Linked DNA regions of Canis lupus familiaris. The protein of the gene in region 2 purifies or fractionates together with the protein of the main gene of each other region. This does not show direct contact. Links are inferred from orthologs where the notes say so. Each region holds a gene or a part of one and is shown on either strand. Other genes may lie near its edges.

Region 1 (5,066 bases), on a different chromosome or scaffold from region 2:
CCGGGCTAGGGAGCCCACGGCGGGGAGGAGGGCAGGCACCGGGCGGGTACCCGGGGAGAACGGGCCCAGCGAAGCGCAGGCGCCCTGGGTATCTCCCAGGCCTGGCGAGGAGGCCCAGTGGCCGCAGCAGAGTGGGGGGGGGGACGAGGGGGGGCGAGGGGGAGCGTGGGGAGGGCCCGGCGGGGGCCTGCGGGTGGATTTGCACTTCGCCCTCTGGGAGGGCTGTGGGCGGAGCAGCGGTGGGACCGGCTGGGGTGCCCAGGGCCGCCCTCTGGTGGCCTCCAGGAAAACAGCCTGCTGGTTGGCTGGGAGTAACCGCAAGGACACGGCCCCGCGGCTGGTGTGGACCAGGGTGGGGGCGGCGAAGGCGGTCAGAGGCCGTGGGAATTGGGGCACGCACATATCCATTCGAGGAAGAGCTTTTTACTGGTGCTGTGGGTGACCACGCCTTCGGCCCCCACGTCTTCCCATTGGACAGACCCACCCTGGGTGCCAGAGCCCAAGATCCACATGTGGGGGATCCATGTGGTTTCTCTCTGGCGTGTCTGGACCGACCGCCGAGTGTTGTTTCTTCTGCGTTGCACATCACCCGGGGGTGCCAGCGCGGCCCACACACCGTGCGTACACACACATGAGACGCAGTGTGTCTTGGGTCCAAGGACAGCCTCTTGGGCTCACACTTCTCCTGGAGCGTCTCACGTGGCCCTGCCCCAGAGCCTGGGGAGCCTTGGCCCCTTGGGGCAATGTTTCTCTGGCTGGGGCAGGAACCTTGTTAGAAGAATACCAGGAGAGGCTGGAGGGGCCTGCTCTGCTGTGCTCAGGACTGGTGCTCGGATGTCTCTGCAGGAAGGGCTGGCTCTGGGGGCGTCAGGGTGGCAGGCTCTGTGCCTTCATGGCTGCGTCTAGAGGGCACATTCCTGTTCCGCATGAGCCAGCTCCGACTGTGCCACAGCTGCATGTGGGATTGCTTATAGCAGCTCCCCGTGAGGGTGGGCGTGGGGGCGAGACTCCTCATTTCCTGTTAGAGCTCTGGAGACCGACCCTTCTGGTAAGAAGCTGGAAGAACACTGGTCATAACCGCTCCCCGGCCTGTCTTAGCATGCTAGGTGCTTGTGGAGTTCTGATCCTGCCATTTCTCCTTGAGTCCCCCTCTTGCAGAAAAGGCAGCCCAGAGAGGTTAAGACATACCTGCTGAGATGTCTGGGTCCAGCCCTCGCAGTGGGGGCAGCCCTGCTCCGAAGGACTGGAGACAGCTGGGGTGTTACGCCACCCACAGTGGCTGTGTTTGCAGAAGTCCTGAGCCCCTGTTTGCTTCTGCACCAGGGAACGTGGTGCCTTGGGCTCCAGGATGGCTCTGACTGCTCTGACATTGACTTTCAAGTTTGTGCAGCACCCAGGGTGCCCCGACAGTCCTGCAGGTGCACATGGGTGGTGTCTGGGCCTTGGCTCGGGGAAGCTGGCCTGCAGAGTCTCACCTATGTCCCTCCTGCCCCCCCAAAGTGGTGCTCATTGGGGACTCGGGCGTGGGGAAGAGCAACCTGCTATCACGCTTCACCCGCAACGAGTTCAACCTGGAGAGCAAGAGCACCATCGGCGTGGAATTCGCCACCCGCAGCATCCAGGTGGACGGCAAGACCATCAAGGCGCAGATCTGGGACACCGCCGGGCAGGAGCGCTACCGTGCCATCACCTCTGCGTGAGTGCCGGGGCTGGGGAGATGCAGGCAGCCACGGCGGTGGGCTGGTGGGCCTTGAAGGATGGGTAGGAGTTGGGCGGGAGAAGGGGAGAGCACACCTCTGCACAGTGGGCAGCCCAGGGTGGTGGGACAGGACCTCCAGGAACTGTGGGACCATTGGGGCAACCAATACCCAGTGTTGGCCACACTGTGACCCTAGGGTAGCCATGTCCTTTGCTCCCTCTGACCCCTGGAGTCCCCTGAGGCTCTGATTTCTCTGGATGCTGGCCACACGGTGAGGGTCACCTCTCTGCAGTCCTCAGCCAGTTGTGTCCTTGGGACTCCCTCCAACAAAGCCTGGTCACCTTCTCATGTCCCTAATCCTTCGGGGTAGACATGTGGCCGTCTGTCTCCTTGGTGGTCAGGCTGGCCGAGCCACGGTGGGCATCAGAGGTTGTGCCCAGCAGTGGCTCTCTCCTTCTTCCTTTTTATGAGTGTCTTCTGACCCCAGGTCCCAGACTTCTTCCTCTGGCTCCGTATTCCTGAGCTGAACCTGGGGAGCAGAGCCAGAACCTCAGGACACACCTGTCTCCCTCGAGGCCGCAGTGGCCACCCCTTGAGCAGGCCCTGTGCCTCCTGCTCTGTGTGTGGGGGCTTAGGGGCTGCTGCCCACAGAGCCCAGGCTAGGGGGTCGTGGGGGGCCCTGGCAGCCGGCTCACGCCCTGCCCCCACAGGTACTACCGCGGTGCAGTGGGCGCACTGCTCGTGTACGACATCGCCAAGCACCTGACCTATGAGAACGTGGAGCGCTGGCTGAAGGAGCTGCGGGACCACGCCGACAGCAACATCGTCATCATGCTGGTGGGCAACAAGAGTGACCTTCGCCACCTACGGGCCGTGCCCACTGACGAGGCCCGTGCCTTTGCCGGTGAGTCAAGCTGGGCTGGAGCAGGTGTGGCCAGGGGGCCTGCCCAGGCCTCCCCGGGGCCACATTCCCCAAAGCGAGATGGTGACTGAGGCGTCAGAGAAACATCTGGAAGGCGGGCAGCTGCCCTGCCCCCCAGGCCCCTGGCATCTTCTCTCTCTTGGCCATGGCCTCGGTACCAGCTACCCCTTCTTGAGGTGTGGTCATCTCGATCCTATCCCTTTGGCCCCAACCATTCATTTCATGGGCCAGGCAAGCGGGCAGGCAAGCAGGGTCGCTGAGAGGATGCAGGGCAGCGCCCCCCTGCTCCACCACTGCTCACCTGGGCCATATTCTTTTTGTTCCAGAAAAGAACAACTTGTCTTTCATTGAGACCTCAGCCTTGGATTCCACCAACGTAGAGGAAGCTTTCAAGAACATCCTCACAGGTGGTCACAGGGCCTGGCTGGGGCCATAGTAACCCCAATATGCCCATCGTGGGGGGGGCCTGGGAAGGGCACCAGCCATTCTGACTGCATGCTCCAGAGCACAGCCGGAGAAGCTTTAGTCTTTAAACCTGCAAGTCGGTCTGGACACAGGACAGATGTGGCGTGCTTTAGGGATCAGGCCAGATCCTGGCCCTGCTGGCACTCAGGACGTAGAGACCCCTTCGACCCAGCTTCTGCAAGGCCCCTCTGCCGTGGCTCCACCAGAGAGCAGCCAGCTCGGTCAGCCAGGGGGACACTGGGCCCCGAGGCCCCTGGGTGCTTATTCTGGGAGGAGGGGGCCTCTGATCATATAGGACAAGAGGCCAGGCCGGGGGTACATCTGTGACCAGACACGGGTCCCGTTCTTGCTGAGCACACAGTCAGCATTGGGTGACCAGGTGGGAGCCTGTCTCCCCCTGCCCCGCCGTGTTGGGGGGCACAGTCAGGGCCTTTGAGAGGGGTTTTGGGTTCAGCCTTGGGGCTGCTCCCCGGAGGGCGGCCGGTCCAGATGGCAGGGGGACAGTCATTGCGGGCGAGCACGCAGCACACTCACCCCACGTTCCCCCCACCTGCAGAGATCTACCGCATTGTGTCACAGAAGCAGATTGCAGACCGCGCAGCCCATGACGAGTCCCCTGGCAACAACGTGGTGGACATCAGCGTGCCGCCCACCACCGACGGACAGAAACCCAACAAGCTGCAGTGCTGCCAGAACCTGTGACCGCCCCGCGCCTCGTCCGAGCGTGCGTGCACGTCCTCGTCCTCCGCCCGCCCCTCACCTCTCTGTGCTCCCTTGCCCCACCCTCTCTGTCCCTCTGTGACTGGCTCCTGCCCTCCCATCGAGCTCCGCATGGCTGGCCAGGGCCCGGGAAGAACAGGAGTCAAGTGGTACCCGCTGTCCTGCTCAAGGAAAGCTAGAAGCCCGGGTTGCTGCACCTGCTCTTCTTGGGTCCCAGTGTGCATCGCGGCGGGTCGGGGAGGGTGGCAGGACGGACAGGGCCAGCCAGAGGCAAGGAGGATGGGCACACCGAGCAGGCTTCTCCAATTTTCCACGGCAGACTCCAGGGAGCGATCACCTCCCTCCCTCTGCGGCCAGTTGGCCCGACAACTGGCCCCCGATCCCCACCCAGAACCCCGTTCTGAGCATTAGCTCGAAGAGCAAGGCGCCAGGGGGCCAGGGCCAGTGGACACTCTTGGCTCTCGGCACCCCCGTTCCCCCACGCACAGCCAGCACCGGTACACGCCTTCGACCTCCCGTGTGTGCGCGACTCCAGCTCCTGCCTGTAGATTTATGCTGGGAGAAGACCCCTCTCCCCCCTCCCCTTCCTTTTGCACGCAGCGCGCTCTCCGGCCCTCCCTCCCTGTGCTCCCCTCTGTCTTGTCTCCTGTCTGGTCAGGAACCTGTTTGCAAGTGAAGCAATATCTCCGTGTTTTGTATATACAACCGCTCTTGTAGCCTTTGGTTTTTTTGTTATTGTAGAGAAACACAGATTCTTTATACACTTTGTAAGATTGACGCCAAACCCCAGCTCTCGATCTCTTATTCTCCCTGTGGCCCCTGCACTGTTGCCCCGATGCCTCATTTCTTCCGCCCGTTACTAAAATGTATAATCCGACTTCCTGTACAGAAACCTGCCACTGCGCCTTTGTCTTCATTTTTCTCTGCCAGGAGGCCACGCCTGGGGCCGGGGCTCCTCGCGGTGCATGTCCCGCTGCCACAGGGAGCTGGAAGACCAGGCCCAAGTGCCACCCAGGACAGTGCAGAGGCCCACGAGCTGACCACAGGGCCCTTGGCCTGGTGGTGGTGGGGGGTATCCTCTCCAAGCTGCCCCTGTGGCTGGGGGATGTATTCAGCTTCTTCCCAGCCCACTGCTCCCCATTCCTGGCCCTGGGGTTGGACTGTCCTCACTTCCATCTGCTGCCCACAGCTGCCTCCAGGGGCTCATCCAGGGGATGGTGGTGGTGCCAGCGCCACCCCTGCTCTCCCCATCCTGGACTG
Region 2 (5,066 bases):
GATGAAGTCTAAAGAGAAGAGGATAGGATCCTTAGACCTTTCTGCAATGGCCAAACCAAGAAACTATCCATCTCACGGATGGCAGCCAGTGAGACAGACAGGAGGGCAGAGTGGTGATACGTTCTGTGCACACCTGCAGTCTCACACACACCAGTGTTCCTGTGGTAACGAGGGCAGTCAGCACTAGGCCACCGCAAACAAACCAACCAAGCACACTCAACCAGGTGTCCCAATGTTCTCACAGACCCTTGTCTCATTATCAATGTCAGAAGAACACGAGACACAGCCTCTTATTTTTGAGGCAGCTACAGCCTAGGACTGTCCTGTGTGAGTCCCTACAGAGCCTTCTGTTCCTCCACAATAAAGAGTTGGGAACAAACAGGCCAGCTTTACCTTGGGCGGAGCTTAAAGCAAGCTTCCAACACAGCTACGTTCTATCACTCCATCTCAGTTGGTTTTTGATACTAGGAAGGTACTGGTCACAAGACATCTCTGTGATCTGAGAGCCCCAAATCTGACTGTCCAGCGTAATTCCTAAACTATCTCTAAAGACTAATATTGTATCCTCCCTGCAAATGCAGGAGTGTCTTGAGAAGGTGTTCCCACCACTGGACAGACCCTTTAAAAATGAGCCTTACCAGCAAAATGTGCAGGAGGTACCACCTGGATATCCATGCAGCTAGAAAGCCCTTATCTCTGCAGGCAAAAGGCAAAAAGGGCTGTGGGAAGGTGGGGGGGATCGCTCACATTGACAAAACAATCTTCCCCGACTCTCACCTGTGCTTGGCTGACCCCGTTCCCGCGCTTGGCTGAGCTGAGACTGGCTGTGTCTCTGAGGGTGAGACCCAGGCCTGAAGAAGCGGCTTCCTCTTGCCAGAATTTTCCACTTTATCAGCGGAGCCCTCTGCTGTTGCTTTTTTTTGAGATTCTGCTGTACTGGTGTGGTGAGTGTCAGCATGTGGGTGGCTGGGGAAAGAGTGTGTAATAGGAAAGGTCTCAGAAAAGGAGGGGCTGGGTACAGGGGAGTCGAGGGCTGTATCAGGAGGCTGGCTGGGCCTCCCATTTCCCATCAGCTTTTCCTTCTTGCCACAGCCAGGACCTGGCAGCTGTTTATCCAAGCGTGAGCTCTTGCCAAGCTCTGGTTTATGAATTCCTGAAGCTGTAGTTGGCTCTGAAGAGGCCATAACAGATACTTCGGGTGCTTTTGACCCGAGGTCAGGCAGGCTCTCTACAGGTGCCGCCCACCCATCTGCCTCGCCCCTCGGCCCCTTCTCCATCTCAGGATGGGCATGTGACATGCTCACGGAGGAAGGTCCTACTTGCAGGGCTGCCACCTGGGCTGTCTCTCTGTCATCTTCACCCTGATCCACCCTTTCATCATCTGACGCCACTTCAGGAATTGCAGGAAGGGTTAAGCCCAGATCAGCCATGACTGGAGAGTTAATACCTGGGATAGAGTGAAGGCCACTCAGGGGATCAGACAATAAACCTTCGTGATCACTGGCTTTGCTCTGATTTTGAGCCATAGGCGTATCGTCTCGCTCAATCTTTAAGAGTGGGATGTCTTTCCCTGAGCTTGCCTCACTCACAGGGCCTTCTGAGACACACTCCTTGGAAGAGGGGAAGTGAAGGGGGTCTGCCATGGAAGCTGGCACACCATGCTTCACTGGCCCGGGTGCAGACACAGCTTCCGTCTCTGTGACCTCTGCGTGGAAACACCCAGCAGGCTCTCCGTCTGACAGGTTTCCAGAGGTGGCTCCTTTGTGTGTCACCTCCTGGGGATTATCTCTGTGCTCTTCCACCAACCCAGTGGACTCCTCTAGCTCCTCTTCCATAAAGATCTCCTCTGAAAATGATACACGCTTCTTGATTTTCTTTTGGCTTTCGTCAACATTCTCTTTGTGTCTCTGCATCACAGAGCCAAGAGTGGGAGCTGATTCTCCAGACTGAAGAGGGGGTGCCGCTTCTTTAATTGCAGAAGTCATGCTGCCCCCCTTAACTCTGTTCTCCCCAAAAGACCCAAATGGATGCTCTGAGCCTGTGTGTTCCCCCATCAGAGGCCTCCATGCCGGGCTCTCGATCTGGCCACTTCTGAATGAAGGAGCAAGTATTACTTCTTGGGTCTCTTGAGACGAAGGGGCATAGTCTTGTTCTGAGTGGGGAGCCCTCTGAACTTCTTCCCTTTCAGGTTGCTTTAGGAGAGACCTTTCTGAGTCATGACCGACGGTGCTCTCCAGGCCTATCTCACTGGTCTTCCCCATTGGATAATCTTCCATTCCCTTCCACGCTGGAGTGGGGAGCTGTTGGAAACGTGACCCCGAGGCACAAGAAACAGTCTTTGGATCCTGTGTTAAACTCTCTCTTAGCAATTCTGCCTTATGGAGCAAAGATGGTTCTTCAGGACTGGCCTGGCCCTGGTCTGTGGGGGGCCAGTTTTCAACTGGCGTGGATGTGGAAATGGGAGCCACAATGGGAGATGAGAAAGAGAAGACAGAAGGAGATTCAGAGGATGGTGTCTCTGCACAATGCCCCAATTTAGAAGGGACAGGTGTCTGGCCAGAACTGGACAGAAGAGCAGAAAAAAAGAGAGTAGAGTCAGGGGAAGAAGGAAGCCTGGCTGTGGCTGGAGCCTCTGGAGACACGTCCAGTCTGCAAAAAGGACAAAATAAAATCTGCAGGTCAGTTGCAGATTCATCATGAGAGGCGATAAACACTTAAAAGATAAAGGTGTTCCAAAGGGGAGAGCACTTTAATATTTGGGGCAGTATTTTAAGAAGTTAGAGAAGGAACATTAATAACATATGAAAGGAACACTTTTATCACCAAGCACATCTGCCATGCGAAGGGCTGCTGCAACACAGAAAGCTCCAAGTAAAGCAACAGCCTACGGTCTCTTTTGGTGATAAACAAAATACATCGAAAAATTTCAAAGCAATAAAGGATGCACTCAGGGTAACAGGCACCAGTTTTAAGAGGAACAGTCTGCATGCATGTGTGTGTGTGTGTGTGTGTGTATGTGTGTGTGTGCATGTGTGTGAAATCAAAGTAAAGCAGAATCTCAAAAAAAGTCTCTACCACCCCAGACCACAGAAACATTGTCAGTGTGAATGTGAGTCATGCTGAAAGCAGAAGCCCCCCGACGCTCACTCAGGCTTTTGCAACAAGATGCACAACTGAACACTCAGAGAACCATCCCAGGCATCCTCGAGAGTGGACCAAAGGCCTCCCGTGCCAGCAAAGCAATGCCACGTTGCAAGGAGGAAAGATACTATCCTCCTGAAAGGGCAATATGTGATAAGAACTTTAAACAAAAAAAGAACTTTAAATAAAAACACATGTTCTGCTCATACCACAGCCAAAACCTGGCATTCCCATTTGCAATACTCATAGTCAGCTGCAAAGCATGGTTTTCCACGGGGTCTGATTATCTTACTGAGATGGACAGACCGCGCCTGCTGGCAGGGGCTTTGGGCTGGGATGCACCACTGCAGCCCGGGCAGGGTGGGCCAGGCAGGCAGTATAGGCTGATAAAAATAACTCAGATGATGAAATGCTTGCCATACACAGCTACGACCACGGACCAGCAAGCAAGATCTGCTCGGCCAGTAGACCTTGCTGACTACCCTGGACAGTGAGGTGTGGGCCCCCTGCCCGAGGAGGGCTAGGACTCACCGTGGCTTGACAGCTTTCGTTTGCGGTGCCCTCGTAGAGCCGACGGGGGGTGTGGGTTCAAACGTGAGCTGTCGGTCAGGTTCAGGTTCTGTGACCTGCACTTCTTCAAACGGGTTCAGGGAGCGGCCCTGTCCAAAGACAACGGCCACAGTATCCTTCTCAGATCGTTTCCCTAGGTCTTCGTCAGGCCCTGGCTGGTCCTCCCTCGGTTTGACTTCCATCGATGTGCCTTCTGTCTCCTTCCCTGGGGTGGCAGAAGGGCTTCCGCCTTCGCTGCCCTTGGCTGTGTCCTTCTTTCCCGTCACCAGGGACAGCAAAGAGGACTTCTTATTCTCCTGCTTCTTGCTCTCTTTGGTTTCCTTTGCAGCCTCCAAGCTCGCTGGTGCTGCGTTCTCCCGAATATCCCCACTGACCTGTGGCCGGTAGGACGGCAGAGACATGGATTTGAGAGAGTCCTTTGTGGAAGACTCAGACCACCGCCTGTCGGAAGACACTGCCCCTCCATCCCCAGGCTCCTTCCAAGACCGAGTCGCCAGGTTTTCGGTGGAAGAGAACAGATGCTTCTTCCGGAAGCCCTGGGGAGACGGGGAAGAGGAGGGAGTGCTCTCCTTCGTCTCGCCCTTGGTTTCCGGCTGCTCCAAGTAAACATGGTTCCCATTGATACAGACGTTAGAGCGAGAAAGGACATCATTCTTAGACCGAAGGCCACCAAAAAAGGAGGGTCCTTCCCTCTTGGGCAGGCTGAAATTGCTCTGGTTCAGTTGCTTAGGATCTGCACTCTCTGTTCTCTTGTGAGACATGACTGCAGGGAAGAAAAACAAAAACCAAAAAGTTAAACGACTGGTTCACAACTGGAAAGGGGTGACATCTCTCCGTGCCTGAACACGTTTTTGTTTACTGGCATGACGGTGTGTTACAGCATCTAACAGGTAGAAGCCAGGGATGCGGCTAAAGATCCTACAATGCATGGGGCAGCCCCTACAACAAGGAGTTATCTGGCCCAACCTGCCAAGAGTGCTGAGGTCCGGAAACCCTGCATTAAACCAATGAGAAGGGCCAAATCTGGCCAAAAGTAAGAATTTAGGCATTGAAATTGAAGTTCAAATTCACAGTTAAAGGAACTAGATTCCTCAACCTTAATTAAGGATAATTCCCATGAAGGTTAAACACATTAATAGGATCTCAATAAATACCTGATGAACCAATGAAACGTCAGAATTACTCTAAGGTTCCATGATTTTACCCTTAATTTAAAAAAAGAAAAACCTGGATGCATGCATTCTGTTAATTCCAAAAGCTTATTTTATATATACAGATTTTATTTATTTGAGATAGAGCACAAACAGGGGGAGAGCCAGAGGGAGAAGCAGGCTCCCTGCTGAGCAGGAAGACTA

Evidence for each region.
Region 1: the proteins of RAB11FIP1 (region 2) and RAB11B purify together in Homo sapiens (affinity purification with mass spectrometry; 3 studies listed by BioGRID and IntAct, counting the BioPlex papers as one, with this or other methods). This does not show direct contact. The link is inferred for Canis lupus familiaris from reciprocal best matches to the Homo sapiens genes RAB11FIP1 and RAB11B.

Annotation. Positions count from the first base shown.
Region 1 is NC_049241.1:53,369,084-53,374,149, forward strand, and holds part of RAB11B (ras-related protein Rab-11B), read left to right. Parts: intron 1-1,500; coding exon 1,501-1,696; intron 1,697-2,409; coding exon 2,410-2,603; intron 2,604-2,947; coding exon 2,948-3,028; intron 3,029-3,642; coding exon 3,643-3,788; 3' UTR 3,789-5,066. UniProt on the Homo sapiens protein: The small GTPases Rab are key regulators of intracellular membrane trafficking, from the formation of transport vesicles to their fusion with membranes.
Region 2 is NC_049237.1:28,256,976-28,262,041, reverse strand, and holds part of RAB11FIP1 (rab11 family-interacting protein 1), read right to left. Parts: intron 4,475-5,066; coding exon 3,673-4,474; intron 2,650-3,672; coding exon 778-2,649; intron 9-777; coding exon 1-8. UniProt on the Homo sapiens protein: A Rab11 effector protein involved in the endosomal recycling process. Also involved in controlling membrane trafficking along the phagocytic pathway and in phagocytosis. Interaction with RAB14 may function in the process of neurite formation.